2 linked regions of the Oryctolagus cuniculus genome follow. The protein of the gene in region 1 purifies or fractionates together with the protein of each later gene. This does not show direct contact. Links are inferred from orthologs where the notes say so. Each region holds a gene or a part of one and is shown in the gene's direction. Other genes may lie near its edges.

The links.
Region 2: the proteins of TRIM33 (region 1) and SKIL purify together in Homo sapiens (affinity purification with western blotting; 4 studies listed by BioGRID and IntAct, with this or other methods). This does not show direct contact. The link is inferred for Oryctolagus cuniculus from reciprocal best matches to the Homo sapiens genes TRIM33 and SKIL.

Annotation. Positions count from the first base shown.
Region 1 is NC_091438.1:55,851,725-55,857,113, forward strand, and holds the start of TRIM33 (E3 ubiquitin-protein ligase TRIM33), read left to right. Parts: upstream 1-1,743; 5' UTR 1,744-1,858; coding exon 1,859-2,384; intron 2,385-5,389. UniProt on the Homo sapiens protein: Acts as an E3 ubiquitin-protein ligase. Promotes SMAD4 ubiquitination, nuclear exclusion and degradation via the ubiquitin proteasome pathway. According to PubMed:16751102, does not promote a decrease in the level of endogenous SMAD4.
Region 2 is NC_091435.1:109,896,322-109,901,120, reverse strand, and holds part of SKIL (ski-like protein), read left to right. Parts: intron 1-1,345; coding exon 1,346-1,587; intron 1,588-1,881; coding exon 1,882-2,106; intron 2,107-2,783; coding exon 2,784-2,942; 3' UTR 2,943-4,799. UniProt on the Homo sapiens protein: May have regulatory role in cell division or differentiation in response to extracellular signals.

The DNA of each region.
Region 1 (5,389 bases):
CAGCAGGCAAGGATGTGCAAGTTCCCACCTGAAGGTTCACTTCCCAAATGCCTGCAATATCCAGGACTGCACTGGGTCAAAGCCAAGCGCCAGGAACCCAATCACCTGAGCTATCTCCACTGCCTCCCAGCATCTGCAGTAGCAGAAAGCTGGAGTTAGGAGACTCAAATCCAGTTATCTGATACGAGGGCTTTGTGTATCTTAAACAGTATCTTCACCACCAGGCTACATGCCCATTCCTTTGCAATTATTTAAACTTCTTTTAAAATCAAATTACAATGCTTGATGGGAAATAGTTTTCCAAAATTCTTTTAGAGAACAAAAGCTAGCTCCTTTAATAATTTTCCTCATCTCTCACTACTCTCTGCTCAAGCCACTCCATCCAAGTTGATACGTTGCTGTTCTGATAAGCTAAGGATACGTTTGCCTCATGCCCTTTGCACTATTTGTTCCTCTACTTTGAACACTGTTCTGCAAGAGAGACTCCTTCATCTTATCAACAGGCCTCCCTCAATCTCTATTTTGCTCCAGTTGCTTTTTCTTCCTGGCATTTACCTCGCATGTTATCAGGGTACTTAAAATTTAAGTTCATGGAAAATGAAACTGCGACAGTTTAGTGCAAAAAATTTCCAATCCACACATGGTTTTCTCATAATACACATTTCTCAAGAGCTTTCTGAAGTACCCTCGTTTATTCCAAACCTTGCACCATTAGCTCGTGAACTCTTTTAAAGGCAGGGAGAGCCTCTTTTGCTCTCTGCTGTAATCGCAGGGTATCTAAAACACTGACACCTAATAGAGGCGAGTCTTCTGGAGTGAGTAAATAAACAAGGCTTGCACATGGTTTAGGGACTTAGACCAGCTCAAGAGATAAAGACCAAAGAAGTGCAAGCGTCTCACGCCCAAACAGCCACTGCTCTGCAGAAACACTTGTTTCCCAAATAAAAGGCCAACCCTTTCTGAAAGCTTCTACCTGGAGGGCATTTGTCACCGGGCTCACCCAGGACACTAAGTGGGACTCTCAGAGGCCACCACACTGGAGGTGAGATCTTGGCTCCGCAACCTGAGGCGCATCAGAATCAGCCCTCTGCCCCACTTCCGGACTCTGGGCTGAGGTGTGGCTTTTCAAAAAGCTCCTGAGGTGACCGGTTTTCGGCTACGTAGCAACGTCCCGGAATCACACTAAGTAGTGGAAATTAGCCGCACAGTGAGTCTCTTCCTCACCGGGTCTTTTCAGCCTATTTCTGGTAGACCTCCGGTTAAAAAAACCAAAGACTCGGCTTACTGCTCCCCTGAGCCACAAACAGCAGAAGGTGCCTCGCACAGCACCAAGAACCGCGAGGCCCTGGCGTCCGATCACGCTGCAGAAGCTTCGGAGGAGACGCTCGCTGGGGCAGCCACAGCCGCGGCCTCCGACCCGTCCAGCTTAGTCCGCCCCTCGTTCCGCACCACAGCTGAGGCCAAACTCAGCAGCACGATCCGCCAAAGGCCGACAGGTTGCCACGGCCTCTGGCTTTTAAAGGCTAGCGCCTGTTGCGCTAAAGGTCCGCGGCACTGACGCAACGCCCCAGCCCCAGACGTCTGGACGAGCGTCGCGGACGACTCCGCGCCCGCGCCCGCGCCCCGAGTTCCCGCCTCCCTCCAGAGGACGTCCGTGCGTACGTGCGCGCGCCGCGCCCGCCCTCTTCAGCCGCGCGACGCGAGGGCGGGGGCGCCGCGTGCGCGCGCGCTCTCGTTGGTTCGCTCGCCTGCTCGCTCTCGGCGGCCGTTCTCGCTGCGGCTGGGGCTGGGGGCGGCGGCGGCGGCGACGCGGGCGGCGGGCGGCGCGGGGCGGTCCGGCGGGTTCAAAGAGGAAAACATGGCGGAAAACAAAGGCGGCGGCGAGGCTGAGAGCGGCGGCGGGGGCAGCGGCAGCGCGCCGGTAACTGCCGGGGCCGCCGGGCCCGCGGCGCAGGAGGCGGAGCCGCCTCTCGCCGCGGTGCTGGTGGAGGAGGAGGAGGAGGAAGGCAGCAGGGCCGGCGCGGAGGGCGGCGCGGCCGGGCCCGACGACGGGGGGGTGGCCGCGGCCTCCTCGGGCTCGGCTCAGGCTGCCTCGGCTCCTGCAGCCTCAGTGGGCTCTGGAGCTCCCGGGGGGACCGTATCGACGCCGGCCCCAGCTCCAGCCTCAGCCCCTGCTCCGGGTCCCTCGGCGGGGCCGCCTCTTGGACCGCCAGCCTCGCTTCTGGACACCTGCGCCGTGTGTCAGCAGAGCCTGCAGAGCCGGCGTGAGGCGGAGCCCAAGCTGCTGCCCTGTCTTCACTCCTTCTGCCTGCGCTGCCTGCCGGAGCCGGAGCGCCAGCTCAGCGTGCCCATCCCGGGGGGCAGCAACGGCGACATCCAGCAAGGTGAGCCGGAGGCCCGGCCCGACGTCTGGGCCGCGGGGCATTTGCGGAGCCCAGGAGGATCTGGGGACCGAAGTGCTGGGGCTCGGGGCTGCCCGGACCTGCGCGATCCTGAGGGGTGGGCGAAGTGAAAGACACGGCCCCTGGGACAGTTTCCAGAGAAGCTGGACCGCGAGAGATAAGGAGGGGGATGAAGGGAGGGAGCCGGCTGTGAGACGGGGTTGGGGGGAGGGGACACAGCGAAGGAGGTTTGGGATGTGCAAGCTGGACCCGGACAGCAGAGCCAGCGTTCAGGGTGGACGGGCGCCCGGCCCGGGAGAGGTGGTGGTGGTGGTGGAGTAGGTAAAGAGAGGAGGGCTGTGAGGATGGATTGCACTGGAGGGAGGGGACGTGGCCCGTTGCCCGGTTTGGAGCAAAGAGGACTGCGGTTTAAATGCAAGCGGCTAAAAGACGTTGGGAAACTTGGAGCCAAGAGAAGGCTCTTGATGGAAAAGAATTTTAAGATGGCATTGGGAAGGAGCATCTCAGGAGATGAGAATAGCAGTGAGGGACCTGCATGGTTAGGGACAAGAGTAAGGTTTGGGGATGAGCAGAAATGAACTTGGACTGAGATTGAGGGTCAGATAGAGCTGGGCATGCATTTGTTTCAGTTCATTGTACATTAAGGAACCCCTAGCGTTCTGGGTGCTGCTGGGACTGGATGTGATGCTGGCTTAGGACCCCCTTCCCAGTCTTAACAGGGGAAACTGTAGCCTGCAGCAGTGGAGGTGGGCGCTCACTATCATGGCTGTGGCGAAATGGAGGGAAAGTCAGGGAAACTTCCCAGGAAAGGAAGGCCTGGAGCAGGTTTCCTGAAGGGTGATTGCCTGCCTCACTGGGTGGAGGGGATCGAGGGTACAAGGTGCGTCCACCTTGTGCAAGACCTCTGGTGGACAGTAGATTGCATTGATCAGCTGCGTGGATAAGGAGTTCCACATCCTTTTCCAGCAACTCTTGGGACAAGATGTGTTTTGGACTTCAGAATACAGTATTTGGGAATTTTTCTTGGTAAGGTCTTTTATGTACTATGTCTTTTATGTAGTACTCCAGCAGTGGTGGGATTCTGGAATAACAGTTCATTATTGAGCACTTGAAAGTTTCTTCATTGAATCACACGAATATCACAATAACGTGGTGGACTTTGTTGTAAACATGTGACAGAAGTGAAGTTTCTAAGCAGGTATGCAAATTTGGCACAGTACTGAGGGGTTGGGATGTGTCCTGTGCAGTGTCTCCTGTACAAGGCGTTCCCAAAGGACTTCTCTATCCAAAGGGTAAAGTCAGATTTGTGATCTACAAAGATCACCTGAAGTCGTTGAGAGATGAAAGAATGCAGGGAGGCCAGTTAGGGGAACCTTGGCAGCAACCTAGATTGGAAATTGTCATTTGGATTGGGTAGGAGAGGTCTGATGCCAGGCATTACAGAAGGAAGCATTTTGATGTCAGGGAGACATCAAAATGAGTTCAGGTGTCTTCTTCGCCACTTTCTACTTAGAACTTGGACAGATTAACTTTTCTTCACCTCAGTTTTCTCATTTGTGAACAGGGACAAAAAGTATATTGCTCATGGGATTATTGAGAAAATGAAGTGAAATAAGATATGTAAAGTGACTCATATACAGTAGTTACTAGTGAAATGGCTGCTAGTTTATTGTTAGTAATGGAGATGGAGGGGCTAACTGAGATTGGTGTGTAGACCGAGTTCTAGGTTTCTTGTTTGCTGACAGTGCTGTTAGTGCAAGCAAAGAATTCAGGCACAGAAGCAGGTGTCTGTAGTGGAGAGAGGATATAATACCTTCACTTCTGGGTTTGAGCTGTTATTGGGACATGCAGATAAGAATGTTAAGAAAAAAGATCTGTGTTTAATGGAGGAGACACTAAGTGGTAATAGGTGTAGAGAGGATAGCTGGTCGTGGTCCCATGAGCATAATAAGACACGTGGGATTCAGTGTCCTTGTGGGAACCTGGATTAGGTGAGCAATTTAGAGGGAACTCAAGATGCAAATTGTGTTGGTTGAGGAACTGAGGTTATGAAATTGGCTTTCTGAAATTTATGTATGAGAGAATATAGTCCCATACGTTCTCTTCATTTCTCCACCTTTGTTTTTGAGCTGGGAGAAGAAGTAAGTGGAAAGGACTAAATACTGTTGTTCTTAAGTGATGTTGATTTCTAGCCAGTATCTAAAACAATCTGGAAACTACCATGTTTTTAGGTAGGAAGTCTAGAAAATAATTTGTCAGTATGAACTCCTGTGTGTATCCTTTGCTTTGCTCTTGAAAAAAGGAGAGCAAGCTCTGTGGAAAGAACTCTGGGTTGGATGGAGTTAGTGGTCGTAGTTTTGCCACCTAATTGTTTAACAGAGGCTCATACTGTTTCCCTAACTTTGTCTCTCAGATGTAGCTAGTAGTTATTCACAATCACTTACTAAGTCAAATTAAAAATGAATGTGAAAATGCTTTGTTTGTAACTGTGAAATGCTTCAAAAATGCATTATTGAAGGTATTATTGAATAATAATCTGTGATCTGAAGAACCAAAGCTGGTGGATTAATTCACTATTTCTCTGGTGGCTCTGAATCAGTGATGAGTATGGTACTGTTTTTTCTACATGGTGTTTTTCTGTCTCTCCTAACACACTGTGGCTGACCCCTCTGGAGGTTCACACAAGGGCGTTCTTGGACCAGAAGCATCGGTATCATCTGTGACCTTGTTAGGAATGCAGATTCTCAGATCTTTGGACCAGTGATGGTTTCATAAGTCCTCCAGGTGATTCTGATGTCCACTTCAGTTGAACCACTGTTCCTTAGTGAAGGGCTCCTCATTTCAAACATTGTCTCAGAAAAGCTTTGTTTTTATTTTGTTTTTAAAGAGTTATTTATTTGTTTGAAAGGCAGAGCTACAGAGAGACAGAGGCAGAGAGAAAGGTTCAGAAAGAGATCTTCCATCCTCTGGTTCACTCCCCAAATGGC
Region 2 (4,799 bases), on another chromosome or scaffold:
ACCCTGGGTTCTAGTCCCGGTCGGGGCACGGGATTCTGTCCCAGTTGCCCCTTTTCCAGGCCAGCTCTCTGCTGTGGCCTGGGAGTGCAGTGGAGGATGGCCCAAGTGCTTGGGCCCTGCACCCCACAGGAGACCAGGATAAGCACTTGGCTCCTGCCTTCAGATCAGCGCAGTGCACTGGCTGCAGCGCGCCGGCCATGACGGCCATTGGAGGGTGAACCAACGGCAAAGGAAGACCTTTCTCTCTCTCTCTCTCTCTCACTGTCCACTCTGCCTGTCAAAAAAAAAAAAAAAAAAAAAAAAAAAAAAACAACGAATCTTAATAGATAATGGGACTAGGAATGGGAGAGGAAGGAGGAGGAGGAGTGGGAGTAGGGGTGGGAAGGATGGGTATGGTTGGTAGAATCACTATATTCCTAAAGTTGTACTTAGGAAATTTACATCCATTAAATAAAAGGTTTCTCTGGGAGGGGAAAACAAAAAAACAATTGTGGGTTTACTTGGTTCTGGACTCTGAATTCTTTCTCACTGATCTATGTATCTTTCCTTATGTGAGTACTACACAATGGACTTGATATCTGTAGCAAGCTTTAACATTGGAAATTATTAATTCTTTTTCAGGATTTTTTGTCTATTTTGGAGTCTTTGTATTTCCATATGAATTTTAGAATCAGCTTATCAATTTCTGCCAGAAAACCAGCTGGGATTTTAATGGAGATTGCACTGAACATATGGATCAATTTGGGGAATATTATTATCTTAAAAATACTTAGTCTTCTGGGGGCCGGCACTGTGGCTTACTTGGTTAATCCTCCTCCTGTGGCACTGGCATCCCATATGGGTGCCGGGTTCTAGTCCCAGTTGTTCCTCTTCCAGTCCAGCTCTCTGCTGTGGCCCGGGAGTGCAGTGGAGGATGGCCCAAGTGCTTGGGCCCCTGCACCCGCATGGGAGACCAGGAGGAAGCACCTGGCTCCTGGTTTCAGATTGGCGTAGTGCTGGCCGTAGCGGCCATTTGGGGAGTGAACCAACGTAAGGAAGACCTTTCTCTCTGTCTCTCCTTCTCACTGTCTATAACTCTACCTGTCAAATAGAAAAAAAATACTTAGTCTTCCAATCTGTTAACATGGACTGTCTTTTTATGTATTCACATCTTTCTTTGATGTTTTGTTGTTGCTATTGTACATGTTTAACTACTTTTGTTAAACTTATTCCTAAGTATTTTATTCTTGTTGATTTAATTTTTGAATGGAATTGTCTTGTTAATAGCATTCCTGGATTCTTCCAGTGACTTTTTAACACAGTGATATTTATTCTTTGTTACTTGATTTTTTTTTCCCTCTCAAAGATCCATCAATCTTACATAGTTCTGTGAGTAAAAAGAAATCTGACTCTACCACTTGCCACTTAGTCAGAGACACAAACAAGTTGGGAATTGGCCATGATACTGCAGAATCATCTCCACTCCTTGTCAAAGATGTCGTTTGTGAAGATGATAAAGGAAAAATCATGGAGGAAGTAATGAGGACTTATGTAAAACAACAGGAAAAACTGAACTCAATTTTGCAAAAGAAGCAACAACTTCAGATGGTAAAGTTGTTATTTAAATGATAATTCATTATGAAAAGATACTTTTGCACATTCTCAGAGGAGTCAAGATATGTTGCAAATATATGTTAGATTGTTCAGTTTCACACTGATAGGCAATTTTAATACATTTATAGAGAAGATATTTTTCAATATAACTGTTGATATATAGAACTAATACGAATTTTATATATTTTCTGACTTATTTTTTCCTGAACTAAAAGTTTTTTTGTTTTTTTTTTTTTGAAATTTTTAACCTGATGGAAATAAAATTGTATTGTGATTCTGTACTTACAGGAAGTGGAAATGTTGAGTAGTTCAAAAGCTATGAGGGAACTCACTGAAGAACAACAGAATCTGCAGAAAGAACTTGAATCTTTGCAGACTGAACATGCTCAAAGAATGGAAGAATTTTATGTTGAACAGAAGGACTTAGAGAAAAAATTAGAGCAGGTAATGAAGCAAAAATGTACATGTGACTCAAATTTGGAAAAAGACAAAGAGGCTGAATATGCAGCACAGGTAAGAATTACTCAGTTTGTATAATGTGCCCTTTCAACATGAATGGAAAGTGTTACTGCTCTGTTAAAGAAATTACTTTTTGTCAAGCTCATTCACTAGGCTAGATTTCAATGTAGATAATTCTGTTAAACACAATTTTATGCTAGATTGTCTATGATGATTTTTTGACTTTTATTGGTTTATTACTTTAAAGTTTATTGGATTTCTATAATTTATTTACTTAAATTGTAAATCTAGCTCTCTGATGATCAAATATTATTTTAATAATATATGCTTTCAAATCAACATATTAACAAATAACTGTTGCCTACTCTATTCAAAAGCACTGAAGCAAAAATAAATAAGTAAATCCTTTATGTTAATAGTTGCTCACATTTGAGGGAAGATGTACAAATATTAGCTTGAACAGGTTGTAACAAGGATCTAGTAATGCACAGAAAATAATTAAAGTGCTGTAGGTGTTTTAGGTGTTTATTCCTCTTGATCCTTTGCTTTACCTTCAATTTAATGTCATGTTGAATGTCAAGGTAATAGTATTAGATACTTAAAAGACTGTGGTATGCATGAAATAGTTTGTTTTGTAAAACATAATGTGAAAGTAGGTCTTTGCTGTGGTATAAGATTAAATGGAAAAACAAAACTAAATGAATATTGACACAGCCTTTTAAATCACACAGCTAGCAGAACTGAGACAGAGACTGGACCACGCTGAAGCTGATAGGCAAGAACTCCAAGATGAACTCAGACAGGAGCGGGAGGCAAGACAGAAGTTAGAGATGATGATAAAAGAGTTAAAGCTGCAAATTTTGAAGTCATCCAAGGCTGCTAAAGAATAGGAACTGTTAAAGAGATCATCTGTGTATACTGACAGGGTTTTTTTGTTTATTGCTTGCTTTGGTAATAGAATTCTGAACAACTTATCCGCATGACAATAGCTAGGCATTCTACCCATTTGTAGATCAAAGAAAGTGAAGAGATTATATATTAGTACATAAATTTTTACATTTTCCAAATGAATGAAAATGTAGGTTTCTTTGTATTTTTTTTTCAGCTTAGTAACAATATAGGATTTCAAGTAGTAGATAACCTGCCTATATTTCTAATGTGAATTTAACAGTTGTATACTTTTTAAAAGCTGCATTATGTGATGGGAAATAGCTGTGGTCAATTTTGTTATCCATATTTCAGACTCAATTTTAGATATAATGGTGGCATTATATTTCAAATATATACTATAGAACTATTCAAGGAGTTGAATCTGCATTTTTCTTATTAACACAATCTCCTTTATAAGTGATATATATACTCATTATTATACACAGACATTAGCTTTTACTTTGTTCAGATTGTGGAATGAATTTCTTCAATCCTCAGTTCTCTTTTAAATGTCTCCTAAGAGGAATTTCATTAATGAAGGAATAGCATAACCCATGGGTGTCATTGGAAAGAGTAAGATGTTTTGTTACGCATTGCTGCTAAATGTAAGAAGCAGTTGTAATTTGTTTTTCAGGTTTAATGTGGTTATATTTAGAAATTTTTTACGCTGTATCTTCAGAAAAATAATGATTTCTGAACTTTTGTTTATGTTGTTAATAGTGGTGTGAAAATAATAATGTTGAGAAGAATTGGTGTCATTGATGTACATCAGTTTCTATAGAATCCACAGTCCTTCTGTACAGGTTTTGTATGTAGCTATGGGTTGGAATGAAATTTATATAATGGATTTGTTTTCCTTTAAATTGTAAAATATTAAACATATTGAAGGTTATTTTGGACTTTTGTATGTTAAATGTTAAGTCTTACCAAAAATTTGCACGAATGGACCATTTTCAATTACTACTTAATATCAAAATCAGGAATTTACAGTCAACTGATAGTGTATGATAGCTTTGTATAGGAGTTTAATTATCTGCTACTAAAATTTTTAGATAATTTTTAGTTTACAAAAGAATTCCATAGTTTGGGAAGAGGCAACATCTTCTGTACTTTTTTTTTTTTGCACAGAAAAGTCTGTCACTCTTTAAAAGCAAATTTCCTGTTAATTCTTGGCTTAAAAGATAATAGAAAAAAAATTGTTAGTATGCAGTTTTTTAAAGGAAAGTTTCCTGAAACCACCAGTAGTTGACATTATTAACCCCATGAATTTTGTTTTTCATGCTTTCTGACAAGGTTCTGTATGAAATTATTACAAGTGAACTAGAATGAAAGTTGTGTGCTATGTCCATTGTAGAAGGCAGGTACTCTAATGTTGGTAGAACTTAAAAAAAAAAAAAAATCACATAGCTTATCATTAACCAGTTATTTTCAGATTGTTCTTAATGGTACTCATATATCCCAAAAGAATTTCTATAGTTCCTAAAAGGGAACTTTACTAAACAGAGTATGATCTAAATGTGTATTTTCTACTTTTCATTTCAATTTTTACTATATTTACCCTGTAATTTAATTTATTGATTCTTGGAATCTCAAGATGGAACAAATGTTGAAAATGCATATCTCCCTAATATAATTTATTTAGACCTTGCAAAAAAATTACACTTATGATACACTTTTATTTTAGTTGTAAATTAGTTGTGTAGTAACTCATATTTTTGGAAGGCAAAATCAAGTACCTATAGTTTCATTTAGTTTTCTAATTCACTTATGTTACTTATTAAATGATAAGTTCTGCTTATGTTACTTATTAAATGATA